Caenorhabditis elegans: one gene and its partners. The protein of the gene in region 4 interacts with the protein of the main gene of each other region in a pairwise test. Each region holds a gene or a part of one and is shown on either strand. Other genes may lie near its edges.

Evidence for each region.
Region 1: the proteins of fbf-1 (region 4) and gld-2 interact in a two-hybrid assay, tested with the Caenorhabditis elegans proteins (one study listed by BioGRID).
Region 2: the proteins of fbf-1 (region 4) and sygl-1 interact in a two-hybrid assay, tested with the Caenorhabditis elegans proteins (one study listed by BioGRID).
Region 3: the proteins of fbf-1 (region 4) and lst-1 interact in a two-hybrid assay, tested with the Caenorhabditis elegans proteins (2 studies listed by BioGRID).

The regions. Positions count from the first base shown.
Region 1 is NC_003279.8:6,366,881-6,374,622, forward strand, and holds the start of gld-2 (Poly(A) RNA polymerase gld-2), read left to right. Parts: upstream 1-2,867; 5' UTR 2,868-3,019; intron 3,020-3,084; 5' UTR 3,085-3,148; coding exon 3,149-3,188; intron 3,189-3,293; coding exon 3,294-3,482; intron 3,483-3,529; coding exon 3,530-3,653; intron 3,654-3,704; coding exon 3,705-3,775; intron 3,776-3,876; coding exon 3,877-4,108; intron 4,109-4,318; coding exon 4,319-4,449; intron 4,450-4,497; coding exon 4,498-4,626; intron 4,627-4,679; coding exon 4,680-4,764; intron 4,765-7,742. Other genes in the region: K04F10.7 (Protein FAM76A), read left to right, coding at 46-525, 572-709; ZC308.4 (F-box domain-containing protein), read left to right, coding at 1,426-1,496, 1,553-1,868, 1,921-2,085, 2,132-2,299, 2,347-2,616. UniProt on the Caenorhabditis elegans protein: Cytoplasmic poly(A) RNA polymerase that adds successive AMP monomers to the 3'-end of specific RNAs, forming a poly(A) tail.
Region 2 is NC_003279.8:12,480,909-12,488,489, reverse strand, and holds sygl-1 (Ecdysone-induced protein 74EF), read right to left. Parts: upstream 4,682-7,581; 5' UTR 4,579-4,681; intron 4,310-4,578; 5' UTR 4,274-4,309; coding exon 4,091-4,273; intron 3,444-4,090; coding exon 3,165-3,443; intron 2,492-3,164; coding exon 2,333-2,491; 3' UTR 2,255-2,332; downstream 1-2,254. Other genes in the region: pars-2 (putative proline--tRNA ligase, mitochondrial), read right to left, coding at 412-610, 1,328-1,449.
Region 3 is NC_003279.8:10,585,561-10,592,487, reverse strand, and holds lst-1 (Lateral signaling target 1 protein), read right to left. Parts: upstream 3,988-6,927; 5' UTR 3,977-3,987; coding exon 3,947-3,976; intron 3,816-3,946; exon of another isoform or gene 3,810-3,815; coding exon 3,741-3,809; intron 3,555-3,740; coding exon 3,009-3,554; intron 2,927-3,008; coding exon 2,673-2,926; intron 2,496-2,672; coding exon 2,408-2,495; 3' UTR 2,024-2,407; downstream 1-2,023. Other genes in the region: Histone-lysine N-methyltransferase set-18, read right to left, coding at 177-627, 1,157-1,302, 1,345-1,539, 1,586-1,675. UniProt on the Caenorhabditis elegans protein: Plays a role in germline stem cell maintenance, perhaps acting in concert with mRNA-binding factor fbf-2.
Region 4 is NC_003280.10:6,076,135-6,083,956, reverse strand, and holds fbf-1 (Fem-3 mRNA-binding factor 1), read left to right. Parts: upstream 1-3,113; 5' UTR 3,114-3,236; coding exon 3,237-3,278; intron 3,279-3,324; coding exon 3,325-3,558; intron 3,559-3,606; coding exon 3,607-3,776; intron 3,777-3,828; coding exon 3,829-4,081; intron 4,082-4,124; coding exon 4,125-4,738; intron 4,739-4,786; coding exon 4,787-4,915; intron 4,916-4,960; coding exon 4,961-5,164; intron 5,165-5,208; coding exon 5,209-5,407; 3' UTR 5,408-5,694; downstream 5,695-7,822. Other genes in the region: F21H12.3 (uncharacterized protein), read right to left, coding at 451-898, 949-1,037; H12I13.6 (uncharacterized protein), read right to left, coding at 5,722-5,873, 5,947-6,022. UniProt on the Caenorhabditis elegans protein: RNA-binding protein that binds to the consensus sequence 5'-UGUGCCAUA-3' in mRNA 3'-UTRs. Involved in the control of stem cells and sex determination in the C.elegans hermaphrodite germline.

The DNA of each region.
Region 1 (7,742 bases), on a different chromosome or scaffold from region 4:
CCCTTTTGCCTTATCACCAACAAATTTTAATTTCATGTTTTCCAGGTCGAAGGTGCTGCATTGCTCTGTCGATTGTGCATTTTACAAGCTCGTCATACGAATCAAACCGTTGTAGCAGGAATTCCAGTGCCACCTGAGAAGCCAGAAAGATCAGGAGAAGGATCCTCAACAGAGCAGAGAGATCGAGATCATCGTCAACACCGTCCAACATCTCATCATCATCGAGATCATAAAGACCATCATCGACGAGACGACAAACATCATCACCGCGATTCCAATCATCGTCATGCTCACAAACGGCGACACCAAGAAGAGCCCAATAATAACAGTAACAACGGAACATCTTCGTCTGGTGGAGCTCCACCTCTAGTTCCAAACAATGAAAATGGAAATGGATTCCCTCCATTCGGAGATCGTGATCCCGGAGAGAGTATGGTGAAGCAACAGAAAATGGAAGACGAGATTCGCCGACTGAAAACATTGCTCGCTGAAAAAGATCAACTTATTTTTGATAAGGATAAACAAGTATGATTTATATTCCAGTTTTAGATTATTGATTGAAACATTTCAGATCAGCAATTTAAAAGCCGACCAATACAATCTGGATAAAAAGCATCGCGAACGTGTCCAACAACTTATCAAAGAAAAAGAAGACAGTATTCGAGCAATCGAACAAATGCGAAATTCGAAAAGTTCTAAGAGGAACTGATGTCAATTGAATATAAAACTATTCCTTGTAACTATTTTTATTAAGCTACCAGTTTTCATAATTGAAAATCAATTCTTCATGCCATATTTCGAAATTTTGTGTTCGAGTTTTAAATCAAAAATTAATATTTGGTTCGTGAGCTAATATCTTTTTTAAAATGAAATTATCTTTTCATTGTATTATTCACCTAATATTTACTTCAATTTGATCCAAAGTGCACCTTCCCCCTATCGCTCTCCCCGGTTGACCCGGCATCCCTTTCACTCGTCTTCTAATTACAATCTTTGGACGTAGCTACTTCTATTAACCTACTAAATTTGTTATAGTGTACCCATTTTCTGTCACTGTCATCAATGCCTGTCTAGTTTGATAATCTGTGAGATAATTTTTCTACAAGTCTGTAACATGTTTTTTTTAAATTTTACTTTTTTTGAGATTAGTCTTTTTTTCGAGTCTTTGAATTTTTCATACAATAAACTGTTCTCGTATAGCCTTGACTGTTTTTAAATCTATAGCATAATACATACGCTTTATGGCAAAATTACAGGAGAACTATGTTTTAAATTTAAAGTAGACCTGATTACGCGACATCTCTGGAATCTTTTTTGACCTACGGGCGCAGGCGCGACGATTGCGGAAACATAATTTCAACTGCGTACTAATGAAGAGATGGAAATGCTTATTTTTTGTGATTTCTAAACTTTTGAATCTTCATCATGACCACCGAACGTGTTCTCCAGTATCCGAATTTGTTAAAAATCGTCCCATATCTCAGTTACAGTAAGAGGTTCGTTAATTTTTTTTTTCTGATTAAAAACAGTGAAGCATTACATTTTTTTATAGAATGGAGCTTTCGAAAGTTTCTCCAGAATTTCGATCAATTCACAGTCGATTAGACTATTCACTGAAGACTATGTCATTCTCTCAGGATTACGGAGCAATCAGTGAAGAAGGACCAATAGAAGTAGGATCAGGAATTTTGAAGGTGGAGTCAATTGAATATATTTTTGAATACGATGAGAACATGGATCAAGTGAAAATCAAATGTTTGTTGGCCCCGGAACTTGTGAGATTCTCGAATGATAAGTCAATAATCAGAAGATATTTTCATTATTACCTGGCCGCTTCACAACGAATTGTTCAGCATGTCAAACTCAGGGTTTGTGAATTCATTTTTCGATTATTCTTGTTGATTATAAATTACATTTCAGGAAAGTGACAGTCCATTTCGAAACCTTCAAAGCCTAAAAATTCCATCCATTTCTTGGACTCTAAACGGAGCTAGAGAATATCCTCAATTCATCAATTTCCAAAACCATGTTTTTGAGAAATTAGAATTAATCAATTACGAATCGATCGTATTGACGGAAACCCAGGTATTAAACGCATGGTCTATATTTTCATTCAATTTACGTTTTTAAGGTGAAAAGTTGCAAACACCTTGTACTAAAAAAGGAAACAATTTACCAGGAGTACACCGTTGGAAACGAGAACAGTGCCATCAGAAATTTCTATTGTATCCTGAGCAATATGAAGTTGGAATTGGTTTTGGGACTGAATTACGTCGAATCTTTTATTCTGCTTTGTAACGTAAGTCATTTCGCCGGTATTTGCTCCTTTTATTTCTCGTATTATAGCGTCTTCTTCTCGACACCCTTCACATAGGATCATCTGTCACTGCAATTTTCATCAAGGAACCTCTTCTAAACGTTTGGAGAACCCTATTGGAACGATATGAAGACTCGCGAGGAACTTTTATGGGTTCCGGACACCGAAAGTGTGCTATATTGTCAACTGACAATAATATCAAGGTAGCAGTATTTGAAAATTATTTCGGGAAAGACTCCAATGGAAAAGAGAGTTTCACGGCAATCAAAATGAACAACAACGTGGAATTTGATGCCTAAATCATTTATTTCTCATATTGAAGGATTTTAAATTCACTAACTATACAATTAATTATTGCAATTGTCTTACATTATATTGGATAAAATTCATCTTATTTTTATTTTCGTTTAGAAGCAGTGAAACCATTTAAAATGAAACGAAAAGAAATTCCACGTCGCATTTTCGAATATCGACGTGACCATTCCACGTGAATCATTTCCGTTTTTCGTTAGTTTTTGAATTAATTTTTTGTTCAATTTTTACCCTGAAAATGCAGCAAAATCAAGAACACAACGACTTGCCGAATTCGAACTGTTTCTCAGTTGCGCATGGAAATTCTACCGTACGCCAAAAGGGTTTTTTTTCTTCACAGCTTAAAGGCGCAATACCTGACACAGTGCATGGGTCTCGCCGCGAGATACGGTAAGCGAGCGCCAACGCCACGCATTGAAAAGGCGCTGAAATTTGATTTAAACTTCGCTTTTCAGCTCGCTTTCTGGCAGTTTTTCCGACGATTTCCGTCGGAGATATCCGTCTAATTTTGTCGCCAATATGGTTATGGCTCAACAGCAGAAAAATGCAGAACGAAACGGTGAGCAATCTGAGTTTTCAATCAAAACTTTATTTGAAATTGAGAATCGATTTTTGAGCCAATCTCAACCTTCTCATTCTTTTAATTTATGATTTATCTTTTCAGACGAACACACTCGACGCAACAGATCTCCTTCAGTCGATTCAGTAAGCCGTGTGCAGCAGCAAAGTGGGGGCTTTGCATTTTATAATCAGCAGTCAAACCATCAATATCAGCAATCGCATCCACGACGTACAAGCTTTTCGAGGGATGGGAACACTGGATACTACAACAACCATTCAGGAAATAAAAGACGTCAGTCAGAAAAATTATTGACTTGCTACCAAATTGTTCATTTTCAGAAACCTACAATAACCAGCGCGGCGGACGCAGTTACAATCATCGCGGGAATAGCAATTATCAACAGAATGGCGAGTATTCTGGGAATCAGGGATGTGTCCCAAAATATCATCAAAGGAATCAAAAGTAGAAAATCGAATTTCGTTTTTGCTATTCCTATTAAAATCGGTATTTCAGTTACCCTCAACTGCAACCAAAGTATTCCTACTTCCAACCACATCAGAGACCAATTTTTAACTCGACCCAGGGTAGGAAATTGTGATTGACATAATTTTAGATTAATAGCCTTACATATCTCCCCTAAAATAATAATCTGAACTAATATGAAGAATAAATAAATTTTTTTCAGGTTACGGCACATATTCTGTCCGTCGGTCATCGCCACCATCTCCATCAGCTCTATCAAGCTCAACAGCGAATTCCACATCAAACCGAGCTCCGACGCAGCCTCCAATCCTGCTCAGGCACGCTGAGCCAGCTAGTGATAAGAATCATCAAGGAAGCGATCATGAGCAAAATCATGATCCTAAAATTCATTTGTACAGGTCGGCTGGCACCGCACCGGGTGGATATACTCAATGGTAAATTTGTTTTCCAGGCCTGTATTTCGAATTTGAAGGTTTCTCATTTGATCTACCATAAATGCCCAGATGGTTTATTGCTTCGAAAAGAGTGGCATTTTTTGGCGGTTGTGTTTTGGGAAATGATAATTAAATTTTACAGGAGAATTTTTGAGCCTTTGTATTTTATCTAAATCTAATTTCATCTCATCTAAAAATTATAATTTATAGCCCATCTCCGTACAAACAGCCACCACCACAACCTCCGTCTACACCATCATCTTCCGATAAACGGATTGAGCAGCAACAAGCAGAGGATTGGCCGACGCGGTTTCAACATCCTCCTCCACAATTCAGACGCGGTGAGTGTTATTTTTTTCATTTAAAAATTTTCTAAGTAATATTTTTAGGGCAGGATCCAATGCCAGCCTCAATAGAGCTCCAGCATAAGACCGCCAATCAAACGATGCCAGTTGATATTGTACAGACGAATCAGCAGAAAACTGTGTCATCTTATGAGAGGGCTGCACAGTTTAGAGGTTGGTTCAAGTCATAAGCTCTACTTTATGTTTTATTCAATTACTTTTTTCAGCTTCTGCAAGTGAACTACCAACGGACAGTGTCGATGCAAAACACCCGTGTTTCGCTAACGAGCGTATGCAAAGTGCTTTAATCGGGTTAGTTGGAACAAATCTCAAATTATTTCAAATTAAATTTTAGTTCTTTAAATGCTGAATTCTGTCTTCTGCCCAGTATATAATTATATATTTCCCACGTTATTCTGATACTAGTTCTGAGATTCGGGGAAACTCATTGTCGGCTTCATCAGCTAACTAATAATTATCTTGAATGACATTGCTGGAATGTGTCCTCTGCCCTTGTCACTTCATTATTATTTATTCGTATCTTCTCATCTCATTTCCTGTACTGTTCAAAGAGAATGTCCTCCGTCTAGTAACTAGAAGCATAACCAGTTCATCATCAACAACAATCAATGGTGGAAAATCGGATATTAGACTATTAAGAAAAACTAATAATTTTCGGAATACACTCAAGGGATCATTTATCCATGATATTCAAGAATTCGTGGTTATTTTTTTATAGAACTGAGAAGAACGGTAACTTGACAACTTTCATGTTGATGTTATTTCTCAAAAAACCAAGTTTACACTTATAAATTCTGAAGATTTTTTGCAAGACTGCTTACGATTAGTTTAAACATACACTTTTCTGTTGGTTTTATCATCTTGTCTCTAGAAATTTCTCGGTTTTACTTCCTCTGTCAGGTTTTTCTTTTGTATTTTTTAGTTTCTAATTCCATAAAATGGAAACAATAACACGATTAACAGCGGCTGTAATTTTGCATAGATTAAAAAGTTTATATTGTCAATAGTTAGACAAAATTGAAGTTTTTCATTTCCAATGGCAACGCCTACGAGACATTCCTCTTGTAAACGATATCATCTCCAGATCTGAACATCTTTATTGTTCTACTCTATTTTCTGTGTTTCGTCTTGATCATACCCGTAGTGTTTCGATTTTTGAACTTAACTATGATTAGTTTAGTGACTATCGGATAATATTTAGGAGACCGAATTATAGTTCGTGTCGAATTATGTTATCTTTATGAACACAAGGAATATATTCTACCTAGGCCAGCTAGGAAATTGCATCTAAAAAGTTGCGTGTTCCACTTGATTGGACTAAAAGTTTTTTTTTTAACATGAGCGGATAAACAAAGAATATCGAAGATATTTCAAATGAAATTCATAAACTTACCAATCATCTGCAGGTGGAACTAAAATAGTAAAATGACATTTATCCGTTCACTTTACACCTTTCTTCACTCTCATCTTTCTCTTTTTCACTGTGATTTTCACCCGACCACGAAAAAAGTGAAAATCTGCAGGCAGTCCCTATGTATCTCTGACTTCTTCTTTCTCTCCTTTTCGTCCTTTTTTATTATTATTGTTAGAAATGACACAGCTGAGAAAAGGAGATACGAGGTACAGTGAAAGGGCGTGTAAATGTTATACATATGGCTTGATCTGTGTGTATTATACATCTAAGTCGTTTAGCACTCAGATCATGTAGACAAATGACTTACTGAATTTATTTTGGAAGTTGGTTACTGTAAACTCGTTTTTTTTGCAAGAAAAAAATTGGTTTTTTGTTGATAGATGTTCATGAAAAAATATAGTTTTTTCGATGCTTCAATGATATTATCGAAAAAATACGATCGCACAAATTTCTAATAATTTATTTTTGATCTACCTGTTGAACTTGACTCCGCCCCCAATCTTGTTGCCGTTGTTATTTTGCTGTGGCTGTATTGTCGAAGGAAGGGGAGGAGCCTATTCAACAAGGTAGATCAAAAATAAATTATGAGAAAATTGTGCGATCGTATTTTTTCGATAATATGACATATCCTGTGTTTCGTAATCCAACATTTTTTTCTAATTTCTATGTTTATTTAAGGTTTTTGTGTTCGGTCATCGGATGTGTGCTTATTACAGAATTGTTGTATGGGAATCTCAAAATCTCTCAGTTTCCTATAATTTTCGGATTTTTTTTCGTGAATACCAATTTCAACAGCTGAACAAATCCCTTATAAGCGAACGCTGGTTATTGCTTCTTTTTCGAAACATCTCGCGACATTGTAAATACAATTGGTTCAAAAAAAAATTGAATTTTAAAAGCACCAAATTGGGACCGAGTAGGCAAGCACATTGTCAATATGTTAATGTAGAATTTTTTAATGCCGATTCTAATTGTAAGGGCAATTCCATCCTGTATATCTATCATGATTGCCTGCGATCTGGTTCTTCTCGCCCTACCTGCTAACTAAGTTCATTTCCCTCCCACATTTCCGAAGAAATCCAACAGACAAAATGCTTTACGTGCAGTTTCGTCAAGTTTCTTTTTCCTACCGCCTATCTCTCTGCACTTCTATTAGTGATTTCGCGGGTTTTCTTCCTCTAGAGATGAACACACAGAGCGTTTGTTGGTGTTTTTCTGATTTCTTTTCTCCTCCTTCCGATCTCGTCAATAGGAGGTTGTAGTAAAGGTTAGAGACTAGGAAAGATGGATCAACTCAGCTGTTTTGAAGTTTTGAAGTTATGTTTGTGCAGTTCCAATCTTTCTGTGAGGGATAACTTTTCTTTTTAGAAGGAATACCTACCACAAAATACGTTTTTTTTTAATTTTACGAGTTCCGTTTGTATTTATTACCCTTTGAATCTAGTTTTACTTCAGAAAACTTCCAAAATTTGTAAATTTTCATAATAATATAACTTTACCTACTACAAAAAATTGTCGACATGAACATCCGTTCTTGTTGCCTACTTGAAAGTTCGTTTGTACTAGAACTTCTCTCTGATTGCATTAAGATCTGGCATGTTTCGATGGTTGATAGTAATGTTACATATGTGTGAAATAACTTCACAAACTACTTTGCCAATAACTTGTGTGTGTTCTCTTTTTTGAATCATCCGCTTTGAAAAAATGTATATTTTAGCACTTTCGACCTTTTATCTATCAATTTTTGAGACTATCGTGATAGCCTATGTGTCAATTTCGCTTTCTTTTTTATCATCTGTAATAAATATTACATGAATAGAAATTCAAAACGTCAGATGATCGAATTTCGGTTCAA
Region 2 (7,581 bases), on a different chromosome or scaffold from region 4:
AAATAATCCCTATTTTGACTTTTTCAATGTTTTTGTGCAAAATCCCGTCAAATTCGGTGCCAGGCACGCAAACACCATGCTACAGTAACCCCGGGACACCGGATTTTGCGACATATTGCACTAAAACTCAAAATTTTGAAAATCTGAGTTCAAATTTGGATTCTACAGTGCAAATAACCTCAAATCCAGCATTTTCAGGTTTTTGTGCAAAATCCCGTCAAATTCGGTGCCAGGCACGCAAACACCATGCTACAGTAACCCCGGGACACCGAATTTTACGACATATTGCACTAAAGAACTGAAAATTGGGATGAAGGGGTAATTTGCTACGAGAAATCCGATTTTGAGCTCAGAATTTAGGAATTTAGAGTTGTTTCATCAATTTTTCCCCATTTCCAACTGCTCACCCACTTGAAGGCACATATGATTCTGCTGTCGGTCGTGAAATCGAATCATTTCCGGTCCCATCGCCTCCCATCTGCCAGTTTTTTCCCATAATTGCTGTGTTCCGACGATCGGCATCGCGATTTTCAGAGCTCCCGAGTTCTGAAATTCCACGTCGAGAATTCGGCACAACTTGTCGATTACACGTTGTCCGAGGGGCAGGAGACTGCAAAAATTCGCATAAATTTTGATTTTTTGTGAAATTTGAAGCTCAGAATCGGATTCTACGTGGAAAAATACTCTTAAATCATAATTTTGAGAGTTTTAGTGCAAAATGTCGTCAAATCGGATGTCCCGGGGTTACTGTAGCCTAGTGTTTGCGTACCAGACACCGAATTTGACGGAATTTTGCATAAAAACTTTGAAAATGGATGATAAGCGGTTATTTGCCACGTAGAATCTGAATTTGAACTCAGATTTCTGGAAAAATTGAGAAAATCTCGAATTTCGAAAAAATTTCAGCGGAAAAATAATTATTTGACGGAAAATCGTCGGTTTTTGAGGAATTTTTAATTTTTTAATTAGAAAATTAAATTTTTTGCTAGAATTTTTTTTGGGGCTGTTCTACGTAAAAATCTAATTTTCGAACTGCAAAATGAGGTTTTTTGTGGAAAAAAAACCGTTTATGGAAAAATTTTGGGCATTTTTGCGCTGAATTCGACAATTTTCAGTTGTTTTTCCAATTATCTCAGAATAATAAATGAAACTTAAATAATTTTCAGCAAATTTCACTTCGAAAAACGATTTTCAGATTTTTTGCGCTAAAAACTGAAAAAAATCCAATTTTCCTAATATTTTGCACAATTTTTGACATTTCCACAGCTTTCAGGACAATTTCTTGTGATTTTCACGATTTTTACATCAATTTTCACAAAAAACTCACCTATAAAATCCTTTCGCCGTCGGCAAAATAAATCCATTCTCGACGAGCATCGTATGAGCCATACTTTTGCTTTTTTGAGCACTCGCACCACTTAAAATCCATTTTCTCGCTTTAAAAAGCATTTTTCATCTGGATTTCATGGAATTCTGCAAGAAAATCGGCGAAAAATCAATGAAATTGAGCAAAAATCGGGGCGAGCAGCTAGCTGGAATAAAAGTGTGCAAGCGCGCTCCACCGCACACCGGCCGGAAATTGTGGGTTTTGGATGGAAACAAAAGGGAATAAATGGGAGAAATAAACTAAAATAGGTAGAAATTAAGAAAAAAGATTTTAAATTTAATAAAAATGCTTGAATTCCAAAAATCTCTCTTGAAAATTGATTTTTTTTCTTTATTAATCGCTTAAAATTCAATTTTCCTACTAGAAAAATTAAAAAAAAAATACACAGAAAAGAAAGGAAATCGTCTAGAAAGTGGTAAAAAACAGTAATTTCAACCGAAAATCGATTATTACAGCACTTTTGTGTCCGATTGGCGCAGTGAGATTCTCGTCGCCCACCAATCACAAGACCGGGGTTCAAGCTCGCGCTGTGGCAAAAATTTTTTTCAGCTTTTCATTCGATTTGCCATAACTAGTAAAGTACTTCCCGAGTCGAAAACCTATTTTTTCGAAAAATTTCAGAAAAAAAACACAATTTTTTACTTATAAAACGTTTATTTTCGCAAGCACGGAGGGTTGGAGATGGGAGGAGCTTGTAATAAATTAGAATAATTAGGAGGAATTGGGGGGAGCTGAAACAGAAGTTGGGGTAAGAATGATGGGATTGAACAAAGAATTATTAGAAAAATGAGAGATAAAGGGGTGGGGCTAGAAATAGGGGGGCGGAGTTTATTACACAGAAAGAAAACCAAAAAAATTGATAATTCTTATTAGTTAAAGAATTAGGCGTGGGGTGGGATTTTAGGGGGGGGGGGGGATTAGAAAATTTAAAAGAGCAAGTACGCTCTACTGCAAATAATAGCTGTTGGAGCCCATCATCAGTGAAGTGTTGTTGTTCGGTAACTGTGGAGACCAAATCGGATGCGAGTGAAGCATGTCGAGCTCGTGAAACTGATGATGATGGTCGAGAGCCGATTGGTAGCTGAGCGACGAGTTGAAGAGACTCTGAAAATGGAGGGAAATTTGAATTTTTTAATTGAAAAAATAAAAAAAAGCTACTGAAAACTGCTTTTTGAACACTTGAAACTATGAAAAAAGCATTAAAATTTAGATTTCTGGCAGTTTGCAGCAAAATGTCCAAATGGCGCAGTGGGATTTTCGTCGGCTTCCAATCTCAAGACCGGGGTTCGACTCCCCGTCGTATCAAAATTTTTTGTTTCGTTGCGATTAGGTTTTACAGTGTGCTCAGATGTCATGGGGAATCGGTATTAATCGAAAATTTAGGGATTTTCGAAGTTTTTCAAATTTTTTCCCATGTTTTCCGCGAGGAAAAATAAATTTATCAAAGATTTTCGAGCTCAGGACACTAAAATTAACCTAATCGCACTTCGAAAAAAAAAGTTGCCACAGTGGGGACACGAACCCGGGTCTTAAAATTGGCAGGCACATGGGAAATCCCACTGCGCCATATGGACATTTTTCGCAGAAATCTGGATTTTTGGAAAGAGAAACCGGAATTTGATGAGAAAAATTGTTGAAGGCTGATTTTTAAGTAGTTTAAAGATGAAAAAGTTCACTTTTAGTGGAAAAATTGAGCAAAAAAAAAAAAGTCAATTTTGGTTCAAAATTTCCGTTTTTTTTTCTGGATTTTCTCAAATTTGAAATTTTTTAAATTTACCGAAAAAACGTCGCAATTCTCCTGATCGACGAGCGAGTCAGTCTCGTAACCGGACGAGGACGGAGATCCCGGGCGGCGCGTCAAAGAGCTCAGGCTCAGATGGTGGTGGTGATGGTGCTCCGACGAAGAATGCACCGAATCGAGATGATGATTCGCCGTTGGCTTACGATACTTCAGGTTGGTCACCACATTCTTCTCGCTACGATCCTTCTTCTTCAACTCCAACAGGGTCACCGGAACCGGGACACCGCCGGAAATCACCGAAGATTGGCTTGATTCCTGAAAAAATCGATAATTTTTAATGGAAAAATCGAACCCAGAGCTATTTGTTTGGCTTAAAAATCGATAACTTCCGCTATTTTGAGGATTTTTCAAAAAAGTGCCCAAATGGCTCAGTGGGATTTTCGTCGGCTGCCACTGCCACGAGACCGGGGTTCGAGTCCCCACTGTGGCAAAATCTTTTTGTTTTTTGAAGCATTGTTCTAAAAGGGCTTGGGACTGCGAAAATCAGGCTTTAAGCCGAAAATTCGGTTAAAAAAGCTCAAAAATTACATTTTTTGAGTAAAAACTGGGAAAAATCTGAAATTTCAGTCAAATTTTTGATGTCCGCATGTGTTAAAGCTTTCGCTTAAACAGCTTAAACAAAGCTTAAACAAAAAAAAAGTTGCCACAGTGGGGACTCGAACACTGTTCTTGTGATTGGTGGCAGGTTGTGGAAAATCCCACTACGCCACTCGACCAATTTTTCAAAATTAAGAGAAAATTATCGATTTTTGCGGGATTTTTGGGTTTTCGAGGGTGCTGAGCACGAATTTTCGGTTTTGAAAGCTTTTTTTAAACAGTTTTATTGGAAAAATCCAACTTTTTAAAGAGAAAAAATCAATTTTAGGGTTCAAAAAAATGATTTTTAAAACAAAAATCTATACCTTTGCCTTGATCTCCAAGTGTTGCACATAACCATTCGGTTGCTTTGGCTTCAACGTGAGAATCTGCTTGCGGACGCCTCCGGTTGACGATGATGACGTGGCGGTTGTCGATGACGTCAGAGACGATGAGGTGGACATGTTTCCGCGGTGATCCATGTAGAGTTTTGGATAATGGAATGGCATTATGCACGTGGCGTGATGACAATGGTTCGATGATCGCTGAAAAAAAGGAGAAAAATTAGAAAATCGGCGGGTAGATCAAAAAAAAAATTTTTTTTCGAAAATTTGTTTTAGTGATAAATAAATTTTGGGCATAATTTTTTTATTTTTTGAACAAAAACTTATTCAATTAAACTCTAACTCCATGGAAGTTATGCAAAAAATTTGAAAATTTCCGACAAAATTTAAAATTTAATCTAAAAGTCAATATTTTTCACTAAATTCTCAAGAAAACCAACAAAATTTGATAAAAAATCGAAAAAACTTACATTTTCGTCGAAAAATAAATGGAAATTGACCCATTTTTCTCCTCTTATATGCTAAAATCACCGTGGGAAAATTGGAAATTCCCACGGCAAAAGCGTGGGAAACTGTGCGCTTTCGCGTGGCGGTGTCACACAATGTATTGACTACAGTAGTCCTTTTAGTGGGAATTGCAAATTTTCGGGATCTTCTTCGCGAAAAAAGAAATCCACTGAAGACGCCACTGAGGAAATACTGAAATAAATTGGAAATACAAGATAAACAAGTAAAAACTACAGAAAAAACCTTGAAAATTCAAAGAAAATTGGTAATTATCGTCGAAAAAAACACAAATATTATTTTAAAAAAAGCCGGAAAAACTATTTTTCATTAAATTTCGGCAGAACACACTGCTAATAAAAAACATGCCAACATAATTTTATTGGACCCTTAATCTCTGAGAATCGACAGAAAACAGCGCAAATTCGAGAGATTTCGACTAACAACTCCGGAATTCAAAAATTATCGATTTTTTCAGAGGGAAATTTTCTTCAAATTCCGAAAAACAGACAAAATCGAAAACATGTCTCAAATCTACTAAAATCGATAAATTCTAAAAATTGGTGGCCTTAAGATTTCTAGGCCATCAACTTTAAACCCGTGTAACTCGCCTGAAAACCAGCCCTATCCTAATAATAGCAAAAAATTCAAATTTCCCCAAACTACACAAATCCTACAGTACTCTTACTAATAATACTAATAATACAGTATAACAAAGTACCTCTCCCTTATCACCCACCAACTCCCAACCTAATACCTCTTCAAATGGTAAAATTCAAAATTTCCAAACTAGGGTCACCTACTGAAAATGCAAAACGGACAAAATCACTAAATTGTGGTCTGTTTTTATAGATTTAAGCAAGATTTCAGCAAAGCGGCGACGACTCCTAGAAAAAAAGAAAAAAAGGGGAAATTAGGGGGAAAATAGGAGAAAATGAGGGAGAAAATACGGTTATGTTAACTGCGGTCAACGTACAGTGCTGGCCAAAAAGATATCCACTTTTGGTTTTTTGTGTGTAACTTTTTTCTCAAGCATCCATTTGACTTGAATTTTTCCGTGTGCATAAAGCGAAATGTTACGCAAATTTGCGGACCAAACATTACATGATTATCGATTTTTTCTGAATTTTATTTCAATTTTTTGATTTTTTCGTTTTTCCAATTTTCATTATTTTTTTTGAATTATCAATAAAACGCACTCTGTTTGTTGCTCTGGATTTGTTTGGTTGATAAATTATTTTTAAGGTATGGTAAAATCTGTTGGGTGTAAAAATCTTTCCTTGGACGTCAAGAAAGCCATTGTAGCTGGCTTCGAACAAGGAATACCCACGAAAATGCTCGCGCTGCAAATTCAACGTTCTCCGTCGACTATTTGGAAAGTAATCAAGAAGTACCAAACTGAGGTGAGTTCGAAAAATATTATTTTTTAATAATAAATGTTTAGAAATCCGTCGCTTTGAGAATCTCGCCCGGCAGGCCTCGAGTGACAACCCATAGGATGGATCGCAACATCCTCCGATCAGCAAGAGAAGATCCGCATAGGACCGCCACGGATATTCAAATGATTATAAGTTCTCCAAATGAACCTGTACCAAGTAAACGAACTGTTCGTCGACGTTTACAGCAAGCAGGACTACACGGACGAAAGCCAGTCAAGAAACCGTTCATCAGTAAGAAAAATCGCATGGCTCGAGTTGCGTGGGCAAAAGCGCATCTGGTCTGACGAAAGCAAGTTCAATTTGTTCGGGAGTGATGGAAATTCCTGGGTACGTCGTCCTGTTGGCTCTAGGTACTCTCCAAAGTATCAATGCCCAACCGTTAAGCATGGAGGTGGGAGCGTCATGGTGTGGGGGTGCTTCACCAGCACTTCCATGGGCCCACTAAGGAGAATCCAAAGCATTATGGATCGTTTTCAATACGAAAACATCTTGGAAACTACAATGCGACCCTGGGCACTTCAAAATGTGGGCCGTGGCTTCGTGTTTCAGCAGGATAACGATCCTAAGCATACTTCTCTTCATGTGCGTTCCTGGTTTCAACGTCGTCGTGTGCATTTGCTCGATTGGCCAAGTCAGTCTCCGGACTTGAATCCAATAGAGCATTTGTGGGAAGAGTTGGAAAGACGTCTTGGAGGTATTCGGGCTTCAAATGCAGATGCCAAATTCAACCAGTTGGAAAACGCTTGGAAAGCTATCCCCATGTCAGTTATTCACAAGCTGATCGACTCGATGCCACGTCGTTGTCAAGCTGTTATTGATGCAAACGGATACGCGACAAAGTATTAAGCATAATTATGTTGTTTTTAAATCCAATTGCTCATATTCCGGTACTTTAATTGTCATTTCCTTGCAACCTCGGTTTTTTCAATATTTCTAGTTTTTCGATTTTTTTGAATTTTTCTGAAGTTTTTTCAAAATCTGTTGAACATTTTTGATGAATATTGTGTTTTTAGATTTTGTGAACACTGTGGTGAAGTTTCAAAACAAAATAACCACTTAGAAAAAAGTTACACACAAAAAACCAAAAGTGGATATCTTTTTGGCCAGCACTGTATCTCCACAGGTCTCCTGCACAGGCATTTCATGCAGTTGGCACACCGTCAGAAGGGGGGGGGGCATGTGTTATGTGTGGCGGCCGCTCTCGTGCACTAGAGGAAGGAGACAATGTTATAGCATGTGTAACGGCCGCTCTCGTGCACTAGGGGAAGGAGACAATGTTATAGCATGTGTGGCGGCCGCTCTCGTGCACTAGAGGAAGGAGACAATGTTATAGCATGTGTAACGGCCGCTCTCGTGCACTAGGGGAAGGAGACAATGTTATAGCATGTGTGGCGGCCGCTCTCGTGCACTAGAGGAAGGAGACAATGTTATAGCATGTGTAACGGCCGCTCTCGTGCACTAGGGGAAGGAGACAATGTTATAGCATGTGTGGCGGCTCGCATAAGAGGGGGAGGCAATCTTATTGTCTTT
Region 3 (6,927 bases), on a different chromosome or scaffold from region 4:
AGTTCTAGAGCAAGTTTTGTTGCCAATTCAAAGGGCTCGGGTCTCGTGACGAGCGAAACTGTTCAGCTACAGTACTCTAAGTATACGTTTCAGAAAATTGTAACACTAGATCGACCGATCGAATTGAACATTTGAATTTCCTGCAAAAGCGTTTAGATTTTGAAAAAAAAACTAACAATTGGAGCATCACAAGCCGGATTTGCACATCGAATAGCTGTCAATGCATCATCTTCTGGATCCATACATCTTGTACATTCACAATTAAAATACCATCTTGAATTTAAATCTCTTCTTCGAATATACTTGCTTCTTCCCACATCAATATACGAAATGAATGCTTCTTCAGTATTTTCAGCATCAACACCTGGAACCAGTGGTCGAAGACATACACGATATCCATCAAAAACCATTGAACATGTTGGACGACATGAATGATTATACTTTGAAACACCCAAATCAAGAGCCATTCCGACTTCATTTCCAGCATTTGTGTGAATACTGTGAGAATTGATTGTAGCCTTACAGAATACATCGAAGAATTCGCCTTTTTCAATCATTTCCTCTCCTCGGAAGGCTCCCATTTTCTCGAAGATTTTCTCAAAATGAGCCATCTTCTCCTCGTCGTCTCTAAAATTGTGTTTTTGATATTTTTCAAATATCTTAAAACGCCTATTCCATGGCTTCGAAAAGCTGAAAATCGACCTCCGCGTTAATCTAATTTGAATTTCGCGCGCAAATGAGTGCTCCAGTGCACTCGCGCGTGTACTCCTCTCGGACAATTAACTATTAGTTAATATTTTAGATTCCTAGCGATTTTTCGTATTTTCATGATTTTTCATAATTCATTTTGGCTTTTATTTGTAACAAGCATGAACAAAAGTAAGAACATTTATTTTTTTAATCGAATATTAGAAGAATACCATCTAAACAAATAGTTAAAATTCCAATTTTGCTGAAAAATTCGTTAAAAGTATTCTGATTTTTGTTCTATTTCGCGTTTCGCGTTAGCGTTTAGTAAATTGGTATGTTTTCGTGCTCTAGAAAAATTTATACTGAAAAGATACGAAAAGTCGCGACAAAATCTAATTAAATTGACATAATCGTTGATTTTTGACTCTTGAAAGATCCTATTCACCAGTTTTTCAATTATTCTCACCTGATATCAACCTTATGGTCAACCAAACTCGAGAATTTCCTCTCTGCCTCAATTCCCAATTTATCTCCATTTTTCTCCAAAAACTGAATACGATCGATAACTTTTGAAAGGAACAAAACTTCAGTGAGTGGAAGATTTGGGAAGCTCTCAAATTTAATATTAATTCCAATTTTTAGTTAGAAACCCACAGCTTTCAGTCTTTTGCATTCTGGTTTATGAACTAACCAGGCAGTTGCCTGACACTCTTTACTACAATACATTGAGAAATTACATCCACCACAACGAAGAAGCTTCTCTCCTGGAGCAGGACCACGAAGACAGTTTGCACAGAATTCGCTCACTTTTGGATTGAGAACTTGAGTGGCGAACGGTGTCTCGAAAATCTGTAATTTGATTTTTAAGAAATTAAATAAGTACAAAAAAAATCACCTTAATTCTAGCATGAATCGACGAAATTTCGTCTTTCTGAACCAATGGATCCTCCTGTTTTGGCACATTCTTATTCTTTTTTACAGCCATTTTCAGAAGTTTCAGTAGAAAAATAAATGTTCACAAAAAGTGTCGAATAGTAAAGATTTTTCGAGAAGAAACAGGAAAAAGAGGGAAAGGCGGAGAGTTCGCGAGATGTGGATGAGTGTAATCACGGCAAATATTACACACGAGAAGCCTCTTGGAGCACCCCTATGCATCGATCCTTCGAGAAGTTTGTTGAAGCATGTTCAATCTATTCGCGCATGATATTATGTTTCCAGTGATCGATGAATAATGTGTGGAAAATTCCGAAAATCTTCAACTGTGTGCCTCATCCCAATTTGAGATTTAATTTCTGAAATTCCTGCCAATAAATGAATAAGAATAGCGAAAAGTAAATATTTGACATCTTTATTTTATCGGGCAAGATCCCACCAGAGACAAAAGAGCACATGGATATACAGCGAAAGATTGGATGGGATTTGAAATTCACATAATTCGCACAGTTGATTATGTTTTATTAAAAAAGGGAAGGGGATCAAAAAACAGGGATGGTGGTAATATGTAAGTTAAACATAAAATGGTGTGTGTGGCAGGAGCTAATAAGGATCAGAAAGAATTAATATAAAAAAGAAAAACGCTCACACGGAATGCCCGTATTCGTCAACAAAAGAATCAAGAAGAGAACCGCATTTTTTTGGATGATAGTGTAAAACAAGAAGAACATTTGAAGGGGGTGGTAAAATATAAATTAATTGATATTTAAACCAATTTTATTGCTTAGACTGGAACATTTCGAGCGTGTCCCATTTGTTCGACCATTTCTGAACCGGCACGATCGAGTTGAGCAAACCACAGTCGGGGACATCTGAAATAATAATAATTTGAGAAGATTTTTTTAAAAAAATTATTAGATTTTCGAAGTTTAGATATTTAAAAATCGAAAAAATTACGAATTCCAACACAATTTTTTAAAAGAAAATTTTAGGTCGTGTTTCGATAAAAATATCAATTTTTAGATTTCAAAGAATAAATAAAAACATACGTGACTCGTCCTTGCATATCATAAAGTGTATGCCAATTCCATGGGCCATCACATGAGATGAGTGGTTCGAGATTTGCAACTCGTTGGCACAGTTTCACATACGACTCCCAGCAATAGTGACACCGAACCCATGTGCCCGGAGACATTGGAACCGATGCTGCAGACGAATTGGACGTCACGTTGGAATTGTAAGTTGTTGGCATATAATCCACATATCCACTTGAACGCTTCACGTTGGCATATGATAACTCCGACTGAAAAAAGTAAATTTTTATTGAATTTTGAAAATTATAATTTGATTTCTTTAAAATCACTTAAAATTTATTTTAAACTCACCGGCATTGCAACTTTTGGAACAATTGGTGCGACATGTCTCGTGGATCCATTTAGACGACTCGACCCGCTGATCTGGCTCACATTGTTACGGGATGTGCTGGTTGATGGTTGCACTGGTTGCTTGTATCGACAATCAGGCAAAAGAAACATGTCAAGATCCACGTCAACTGATGGATCCATGATTTCGTGGATTTTGTTCTCATTGTCTGACAATGTCAATCCAGAAAACATGTTCTCCGACGAAGAAGCCGACGAAAATCCGGAAGATGGTGTTCTCATCAGTGGTGGTGGGCCAGACGTTTTTCGAGAATTGTAGTGTGTCGGGCGATCAAATGCATGATAATGCTGTTGTTGTGGAATCATTGCACGAACTCTCTTGTTCTTCTCTATATACGTCAAATGCAATTTTTGACTTCTCAGGCCCGAACGTTGTTGGGGAGAAGATGACAAGCTGGAGAGAACTCCGCTATCTTGACTGGATTCCCAAAAATTGGAAGGTTGATTGAGCGGAATCAGCGGCTTGATTTCAGATCGGAGTTGAAGCAGCTGAAATTAATTTTTATTAATTACGTCTATTTAATGAAAAATTATTTATTTTAATTAAAAAAGAGCAAAATTCTGTTTTTGGAGCGCAAAATTCTATTTAGTGACGAAAGCCACGTGAACGGCGTGACAAAAAATAGGTCAGTTTCGACACGTTTATATAAACGAAAAATAAAACTTCCAACTCACTTGCTTCGGCGCCTCGTGTTGCGACTTCGAGTAGGCGATGGTACTACTGCTTTTGTTGCAGTTGTTTCTCTGAAAAATGATAATATTATTATAAAACTGAAGGTAATAAAAGAAATGGAGAAAGTTGGAGAATCGGGATCATCGTTGAAACAATTCAATCGGAAAGAGAAAATACATATTTAATTTCAAAAAAAAAGTGAACTCACTCTTGGAGGAAGAATAAAAGTCGAACACATTGTCTCGCGCGAAGATTGAATAGTCAAATAATTCTTTTGAAATGAGAAAGAACATGGCACCGACGAATAATTGGACAATTCATCGAAAATAACAAGCGTGGGAAAGTTGTCATTTTCCCACGTATTTTCCCACGCCTGGGGGAGGCGTGGGAAAATGCAATGGAGCAAGAATGCAAGAGCTTTTTTGAATTTCGCGGGCTTTAAAAACATTTAAAAACATGTTTTTAATCGACAAAAAGTTTATTTTTAAAGAAAAAACATTGGATTAGTCTGAAAATTGAAAAAAAACCTCAAAATCGCTTGGGCAAGCAATTAAATTTGAGAAAAACGTTCCCAGATGGGAAAGAAAATAGTTTCCCATTAATCGAAGCCGCTCAAAAAGGTGTGCGCCTTTAAGATGTACAGTAACCCACTCCCCTTTCGCAATTTTCTTAAGCTTTTTCTAGTTTTTCTATTTCAAAAATAAGCAGAATTACATGAAAACCTGAAAAATAAGGCAAAAAAAAAATCTTAGCGAGAAAAAAATAACGTGTAAAATTCCTTGCAAGCGGGTTACTGTATTTCTTAAAGGCGCATACCTCTCAACGCGTCCCGGAATTGGAAATATTTCGTTCGTAAAATATAGAAGTTTTAAAATTGGAATGTAAAATTGTCATCGAAGCCTCATCAACCTAAAATCCGAACACTTTCAATCGGAACTAATCTAATTTCAATCGAAATGGGGGAAAAATGAAAAGAGATGAGAGTAATTAGAGTGACTAAATGAAACGATAAAAACTACGACAGTAGGTGGTCAATAACGGCAGGTAGAAGATGAATGGAGACCTCTTCTTTAGGAGAAAAGAATGACAAGATGAATCATTGAACAATACAGCCATTTGTCAATTTGAAAACATTTTGGGAAGATATCTAAGCATTCTCAGATGTTTGGGAAATTGGAACTTATCAAGGAAACATTAAATTTAAACGGAAAAAAGGTTTAAGATAACAAAAAAGCGACATTTCAGACACTTCGAAGATTTTATTATCGTTTTGAAAACGGAACTGCATGAAAATTTTGTTTTAAAAAAATAAAAAATAAAAATATTACCTAGGTACGAAATTTTGCAATTTTTACGACGAAAATAAAGTACCAGGTCTTGAATTTATGTTAAATACAAGCAGGTTTGCGCCTTAAATCTACAGTACTCCTTGAGACTACTGTAGATTCAAAATGTTCGTTTCCGTCGAATTTTCATCGATTTTTCAAAATAGTTTTTCTTACATTTGGCACAATTTATGTGTTTTTTCTAATTTTTATAAATATTTAAGTTTTATAAAAAATTTTACCGAAAACCTACGAAAAAATCTTTGAAAATTCTGCAGCGATCACCACAAAAATGGGCTATCAAAACATTTTTTCGTGGCGAGACCCATCCGAATGGACCTGTGTGCCTTTAGCTTACTTTGGTGCCATACAATAAAATTTCGATTGTAAAGAAAAAACTACAAAACAACGAAAACTATAAAGTTTCCAAAAACTTTATCACTAGGAACGCGATTCAATTCTCACTAACTTTCTTTTTATCAAATCACACTCAAAATTCAATAAACCGATTAACTAAATGGAATGCCGTCAGTAGTAACAATTGAAAGATTATTAAAAGTGTAAACTTCAAGTGCAAGCTCTCCTTCTTATCAGTTTTTTGTCACGTATTTGAACAGATGGAGGAACATGAGAGACAGATTGAGGTCAAGTATTCGAATACTTTAAAGCTGGAGGAAAAATAAAATTTTAGTTTTCTAGAAGAATGCTTACTATTAGTAATAAGTTAAGAAGTAATCTTCTTCTTAAAATCTTAAATAAATAGCGAACATCTTATGTTTCGAGTAAGTGAAAAAGTGTACACAAAAAACCTGTGTGCTATTTGAACTTTATCAGTATGTAAATATTTAGATGGCATTCGGGAGGTTAGAGTAAACCACCCAATATTTTGTTTCTAAACTATTTTACTTACTCACTAAATATTAGTTATCGCGTAACCTTTCGACGGGGGGCGCAACTCACAATCACCCTCTCTCACCCGAAATCGCCTCCGGAAAAGAGAAGGTGGCCTGTGATTCTCAGACTTTGGTAGCTCACAACTTGACTATCTTTTTGCTAAATTTAAAAATTGCAAACTAACATTGTGATAATAATTTATTTTTCTATATTTTTGTAATTAAACATTTTTAATAACTATATAATAAGCCAAGAAAGGTCTATTTAAGTGGAGCGACAAAAACATGGTGCACCCAAGTACTGTTACTTTGTTAACTTATATCTCGGTTAAATTTGCAGGTACAAAATTGAACATAATAAACTTTTCGTTAGTTAGTAATTTTTTGATAAATCAAAACACAACCCAGATATGAGCTCCCAAAGTTGGTGCATGGAGGGGGACTACTGCTTAACTTTGACATCTCATAACTTAATTATATTTTGTTTAATCCTTGGAAAGTTCCACAAAAATATTAATATTTCATTTTGCTATATTTTTGTAGTGAAAACCTTATTGAAATCTATGAAGTGAGCCGAGATGGCCAGGGCTCGTGGTATTTTTCTTTTAAAAAAATTCAGTTAAAAATTAAGAACAAATATTTTTCCCATAAACTACATGCTACAAAACTATTCAGAAACTAGTGTCACGACAAAAAAAGGACGTAATTGGAGTAAATGAAACGATAAAGTGTCAATGGTCGTCCCGAATAACGGGTCGGATGCAGCAGTGATGAATCATCAAAAAGAACACACGACGCCCACTCTCTACTTCTTACCCGTTATGGTTCTATTTGCTGCTGCCCTGCCACGACTGTGTGTGAGCAGAAAAAAGAATAAAGAGAGAGAGAGAGAGAGGTCAAGACAAACATAGAAAACGATGAAGACAGAGAGGGACAGTGTTCTTCTTCTTCCTCTACTTGTTCATTTTCTC
Region 4 (7,822 bases):
CCATCTCTGTCTTCTGTGTCATTTCCGTTCTTCTTTTTAATCCATGGGCTGCACTTATGGTTGTTTGTATTCTCGGAATCATGACTTGCGAACTTGCCGGATTCATGGGACTCGTTGGAATTAAGCTCAATCCGGTTTCAGCCGTAACTTTGATCACCGCAGTTGGAATTGGAGTCGAATTCACTGTTCATGTGGTTGTCTCATTCCTGACGGCGCTCGGAACAAGATCTCAACGAACGTCATCTGCAGTTGATCGAGTTTTTGTTCCAGTAATTCATGGATCATTCTCCACACTTCTCGGTATTTTGATGCTTGGATTCTCAGTTTGAGTGAGTTTTACAGAAGTATGGATGTCATCAGAATTTTATTTTTCAGATTTGTTGTCAAATATTTCTCTATTGTCATGACGGCTCTGATTTGCATTGGAACGGACTAATTCTTCTCCCAGTTTTATAATCTTGTTTTGTTCCAAGAAGAGAGATAAAATGTTTTGTTCCAAGAAGAGAGATAAAATAGAGATTCCGTAGTAAAATATCCAATTGTAGTAAAAGATCTAGATGTGGAATTCTTAGTAAAAGAGATTCCGTAGTAAAAGAGATCCTGTAGTAAAAGAGATGCGTTGTAAAAGATCAAGTAGTAAAACAGTATTTGCCCAAAGTCTGACCAGCGAATCATATCATCAACTGACAGCGCACTCAACGACGTCCCAAGTGATCGGAGTGAGGATTTTGGGAGAGATGGATGCGGCTCAAAAGCTTTCGATCCATCGCAAAAATAATCTATTGGAGTAATCCAAATGCATATCATATCGATGACGTCACCAAGCGAGGAAGCGGCAGAATCGGCTGCGACAGATGGTGGAGCTGGTTTGAAGCAGATGTCGGATAGAGACCAGTCCCTAAAATGATCAATTGTTACAAGAAAAATATATTGGTAGTCTTCACTTACACTCCATGAACTGAAACGTTGAAACTAGCGATGTGCTTCATAATCTCGGCGTGTTTTAGAAGAGCGAAGAGGTCCTGCAGCAAGTGCATCTTGTCCCACACGTTTTTTTTATTTTCCAATAATCCACATTAATTGTAATCAATGTTGCAATCTGAAAAGTGAAAATCAGCTAAATCAGAAAAAAGGAAACAACTTACGTTGAGAGTTTAAATATATAAAAACCAGCCGTTCGCACGCGCTGAAGCGCGTGCTCCGACTGGCGTACTCAAAATTAAAATCAAATTCTGAAATTTCTGAGCCTTTCTTTGCAGATGAAACGTTTTTCCCTGTTTTCCGGAAGTTCTCGAGCAACATAAATATCTACAAACTATGGAACAAACGGCCTTCATTCCGAGATGACAAACTTTTTGGTGGCAAAGGTTCTTTGGGGGCATAGTATCCAAGGAGACAAAGTATCCAGTAGACAAACTGGGGTGTATCTTGGGGGGCATATCTTTGGTGACAACCTTTTTTTCAACTAGATTTTTATATGTATTTTTCAACTAATTTTTGTTCACATTTTTCTGGAATAAGTTTTTTAATGCAATTTTCAATCGATTATCGGTTATAATTCCCTCACAATTAAATGTATGAACGATGGTCTTTTGGGAAAAGCTGTAAAAGGTCCAACTAACTTGGAATATCGTGAGGCTCTTCCTGATGGTCTGATCCTTCAGCTCCGAGGGATCACATAGGTACCTTCTGATGTTCTGATCCTTCAGAAAAGAAGGATCGTAAGGGTACCTCCTGATGGTCTGATCCTTCAGCTCCAAAGGATCACGAGGCTCTTCCTGATGTTCTGATCCTTCAGCTCCGAAGGATCACATGGGTACCTTCTGATGTTCTGATCCTTCAGATAAGAAGGATCGTAAGGGTACCTCCTGATGGTCTGATCCTTCAGCTCCAAAGGATCACGAGGCTCTTCCTGATGTTCTGATCCTTCAGCTCCGAAGGATCCGACGTCATCATCTCGAAGAATCTTACGATATTCCAAGTTAGTTGGACGTTTTACAGCATTTTCCCAAAAGATCATTGTTCATGCATTCAATTGTGAGTAGTCAAGGCCGAAAATCCATGGAAAATTGCATTTAAAAACTTATTCCAGTAAAATATGAACAAAAAATGGTCAAGAAATATATATAAAAAAACTAGTTGAAAAAGTTTGTCACCGAAGATACGCCCGGTCAGAGACAAATGGCACTTTGTCGACTGGATACCATGTCACTTTGGATACTTTGTCCCCAAAAATACCTTGCCACCCTAAAAGTTTGTCCCCTCGGAATGAGGGCCAGTTACCAGTGGCCATAATCGTGTGATTATTATTTGGGATGTTCGAAGTGTTTGCTCCGCCCTTTCTGGATCACAATAGACAATTGCTTCTTCTACTTCTTGAATGTCTCATAATTCTTCTTATTTTTATCTAATTTATTGCTTCTCCTTTCTATTTTGTATATTAACTCCCAAAAACGCCCATTCTTCCCCAAAACCATCTAAAACTTACCAATATTTCCCGATACCCCTGACAGGTTATCCTGAATAATGATTGTGATTCTCAAATTTCTTCTAATCCCGTTAATTCCCCAAATATTCGAATGTAACTTTTTTTGGAATTTTTTTGTTTTCTAGTTTATAAATAAACAATATGTTTGAAAAACAATCGTAATTTGCGTTTTAGATGGTTAAACGGTAGGAAGCTTAAGCTTCCTACAACATCCAAATACAATGCAATATTTTCTGAAATTCTAAATATCAAAACATCATCCGGAATATGGAGATTTAATGCAACTCTATAGAGGTTTATGGGGACTTAGTCTTCTGGAAATTGAATTATGTGATTATGAATTAATTTTAAAAAAACCAATCCCAATCATACGATCGTCGACGACGATCGTCCCTCGCGTCTCGCGAGAGCCAACTGGTTATAGCTTTTCGGGAGGTTTAAATGTTTTATCAATTTTATACGGTACGGTCTGGAATATTCCACAATTTTTTATCTGTTTTAACAGAGAATATCTCTCCATGGAGATGCTAAAATTTTGAGAGATAAATAAGCAAATCGCATTGTTTGAAAATTTCAATTTGGATACGGTAGACAATGACAAAGTACGCAAACACCAGAGTATGTGACACACTTTCGTCATTCTCAAATTCAATTTGAAATATTATTTTCTTATTCCTATTCTCTATTTTCTGTGAATTGATAGTTTTTCTATAAGTAACCATTCGAATAAAATTATCAACTAATCGACATGGACCAATCAAAAATGCGCTATACAAATCAGTTCAGAAAAGTTGGTTTTCAGCCATTAATATTGATAAATGGCCTAAATTTTACAGACTCCGCAAAAGCCCACATCTACAGAGGTTGGAAATCATCATACTCCCGCACATTCGCCGATGGCGCAGCATGAGACATCAATGTGGAACTTCAACTCTCTCAACCCGTATTTCTCAATGCTCAATATGAACGATGGGATGAATTATGCTCGCCATCAACAGAATCACATTGTTACATCGCGGCCACCAACCCCGCTAACTGATTTGATGAGCCTCCGGAGTTTTCAGAGCTTTGTAAGTTAGAGTAGCTAATTTTTGGTTGTTTTCATTACTGATTTGCAGCCCAATGTGTTCATGCCGGTCTCGCGTAGCCGAACTTCATCATTCATTCAGTCTGATACGGATTCCTCGCGTCTCGAGCCGGACGATTTTTCACAAAATGTCCGATATTGCTCTACCGAGATTGATCGTAACAATAGTTCTTCGAAAAATGACCATTTGAAATATTCGAGGTTCGAATTAATTTATCACTATCCTCAAGTGTTTATTCTGTTTTATTTATAGACCCGCTCTATCGAGGAACTCTAGATCATTCACAAGATCAAACAATGTGCTGCCAACCTGGTCCTTGGATTCCAATGGTGAAATGCGTTCAAGATTGTCGCTCTCTGAAGTTTTGGATAGTGGCGATTTGATGAAGTTTGCCGTTGACAAAACTGGGTGCCAGTTCCTCGAAAAGGCCGTGAAGGGCAGCCTGACATCTTATCAGAAGTTCCAATTGTTTGAACAAGTTATTGGGAGAAAAGATGATTTCCTTGTAAGTTTTAGTTTCTGCGAGCACACACGACTTTTCTTTTCAGAAATTGAGCACGAACATCTTTGGAAATTATTTCGTACAAGAAATCATTGGAATGTCATTGACAACTTATGATGACGACAACATAAAGCGACAAGAAAAGTTGAAGAACTTCATCAGTTCCCAAATGACAGATATGTGCTTGGACAAATTTGCGTGTCGTGTTATCCAATCCAGTCTCCAGAACATGGATTTATCCCTTGCGTGTAAACTTGTTCAAGCTCTACCTCGTGATGCTCGTCTTATCGCAATCTGTGTTGATCAAAATGCCAATCACGTCATTCAGAAAGTCGTAGCTGTCATCCCACTGAAGAATTGGGAGTTTATCGTGGATTTTGTTGCAACCCCAGAGCACCTCCGTCAGATTTGTTTTGATAAGTATGGGTGCCGTGTTGTGCAAACTATAATCGAAAAACTCACTGCTGATTCAATAAACGTTGATTTAACTTCCGCTGCTCAACATCTTCGTGAACGAGCACTCCAACGCCTCATGACTTCTGTGACTAATCGGTGCCAAGAATTAGCTACGAACGAGTATGCCAATTACATAATACAGCATATTGTATCCAATGATGATCTGGCCGTATATCGGGAATGTATCATAGAGAAATGCCTCATGTGAGTGTTGTTTAATATATATTTGATTTTTAATCATTAATATTTCAGGCGCAATCTTCTTTCGTTATCCCAGGAAAAGTTTGCGTCTCATGTTGTAGAGAAAGCATTCCTACATGCACCAATGGAACTTCTTGCTGAAATGATGGACGAGATTTTCGACGGATACATGCCACACCCGTAAAAATTTCGTTTCAGTCACATAAAAATTAAATTGTTTTTCAGGGGCACTGGAAAAGATGCTCTCGATATCATGATGTTCCATCAATTCGGAAACTACGTCGTTCAATGCATGCTGACTATTTGCTGTGATGCTGTGTCTGGAAGACGACAAACGAAAGAAGGGAGCTATGACCATGCAAACTCATTCCAAGTTTGGCTCAAAAAGTTGCACTCGAGAGTTACGAAAGAAAGGCATCGCTTGTCAAGGTTATCACTATTGTCACAATAATATTTTGAAATTCGAATTTCAGGTTCTCATCCGGCAAAAAGATGATCGAGACGCTTGCCCATCTCCGTTCAACTCATCCGATTTATGGACTCCAATCTTCGGGACATGAATCATTCAAGACGGATTGCTTCAGTACTGCTTCCGAACACGATGGTCTAGAGTTGGAGAAGAATGGAATCGAGGAAGGTAACCTGAGGCTCATGCGAACTTTCTCACCATAAATCTCATCCCACCCACTTATGTTCTGTTGTTTTGTAATATTTTAAACTGTTGCAATGGTTTCGTTTCGATTTTAAGATCGATGTTGTGCCATCCCCACCCTTATCATTGCCCAGTTTTGTTTTTTCTTTTCTTTTTTGTTGTTTTATTGCTTTTCATGCAGTTGTGTTATTGTTTCTTTCTGTTTATTGTTCATTGTTTTGTTTTTTTTTTTCGAATTTAATGAATCCAGATAAATTTGGACACGAAAACTCTAAAAATTAAATAAAATTATTTCAACACTAAAATAATTCATTACGCAAAAACAACAAACAAATTATTCGAAGATTTCCTCTCGTTGACGCCAGGTAGAGTTGGCGTCGTCGTTCTCCATGTAAACCATTGATGTTGGAATTGTGGGGCGAGCCTCCACGCCTGGCGGTGGTCTTCTCGGTGCGAACATCATCGACCCACCAATCTCCTCTTCGACTGAAAACACAGAGTATTTAAAATAAAATGAGAATGAAAGGTAAGTTCCTCCCAATTACTTCAGTAAACTCGCCTTTTTTAGCCTTAAATTTTCCGCAGTTCACCAATACGGCAGCAGTGAGAATAACAGAACAGACGAGAAACAGCATCTGTAAATAAATTTGATTTCAATCTCTACTCTTCAGCACTTATACTATAAGTGTTGTACTTCTATGAGTTTCATTGGATAAGTGTCTATTCGGAATAGTCTCGCTGCACTTTATTCTCTACAGTAATCTTACATTAGAGTATACGCGAGAAATGGAGAGTGCTGCGAGAACTAGAATGAATATGCCTCCCTTGAAACGTATAGAAAGATTGGAAAAAGAGGAATTGGATTTAAAAAAAAGAAAAAAAAAAGTAATCGGGATTGTTAAAACCTTTGATATCATACAAAACGATTTCCTCATGCACTTTTCACGTGGAAAATCAGGAGTAAGCAACGTGTCCCCTTATTTGTTGACGTCTGAAGCCGTGGCAATAGGTAGGAATAGGACTCAAATATTTTTTAAAATCTAACAACACAGATTTTTACGCAGTACATAAAAAATGAATGAAGGACGTTCTTCAAGTGTTTTGAAACATTCCAAGTTTTAGTGGATTTAAAAGTTAAAAACCAGTAAAGTTAGTAGTGTTCGGTATAATATGACAATTAGTAGTCAAATGGATGCAAAATATTTCAGAGTCAGTTTTAGAATAAAGCAATCCATAAATATTCGAAACCACATTCAGTTCTTGAAATTACAATTTGCATGTTCTGTACCATTCCGAGTTTTAGTGGATTTAAAAGTTAAAAACCACTAAAGTTAGTAGTGTTCGGTATAATATGACAATTAGTAGTCATATGGATGCAAAATATTTCAGAGTCAGTTTTAGAATAAAGCAATCCATAAATATTCGAAACCACATTCAGTTCTTGAAATTACAATTTGCATGTTCTGTACCATTCCGAGTTTTAGTGGATTTAAAAGTTAAAAACCACTAAAGTTAGTAGTGTTCGGTATAATATGACAATTAGTAGTCAAATGGATGCAAAATATTTCAGAGTCAGTTTTAGAATAAAGCAATCCATAAATATTCGAAACCACATTCAGTTCTTGAAATTACAATTTGCATGTTCTGTACCATTCCGAGTTTTAGTGGATTTAAAAGTTAAAAACCACTAAAGTTAGTAGTGTTCGGTATAATATGACAATTAGTAGTCATATGGATGCAAAATATTTCAGAGTCAGTTTTAGAATAAAGCAATCCATAAATATTCGAAACCACATTCAGTTCTTGAAATTACAATTTGCATGTTCTGTACCATTCCGAGTTTTAGTGGATTTAAAAGTTAAAAACCACTAAAGTTAGTAGTGTTCGGTATAATATGACAATTAGTAGTCAAATGGATGCAAAATATTTCAGAGTCAGTTTTAGAATAAAGCAATCCATAAATATTCGAAACCACATTCAGTTCTTGAAATTACAATTTGCATAATCTGTACCATTCCGAGTTTTAGTGGATTTAAAAGTTAAAAACCACTAAAGTTAGTAGTGTTCGGTATAATATGACAATTAATAGTCAAATGGATGCAAAATATTTCAGAGTCAGTTTTAGAATAAAGCAATCCATAAATATTCGAAACCACATTCAGTTCTTGAAATTACAATTTGCATGTTCTGTACCATTCCGAGTTTTAGTGGATTTAAAAGTTAAAAACCACTAAAGTTAGTAGTGTTCGGTATAATATGACAATTAATAGTCAAATGGATGCAAAATATTTCAGAGTCAGTGTGGGAACAAAGCAATCCATAAATATTCGAAACCACATTCAGTTCTTGAAATTACAATTTGCATGTTCTGTACCATTCCAAGTTTTAGTGGATTTAAAAGTTAAAAACCACTAAAGTTAGTAGTGTTCGGTATA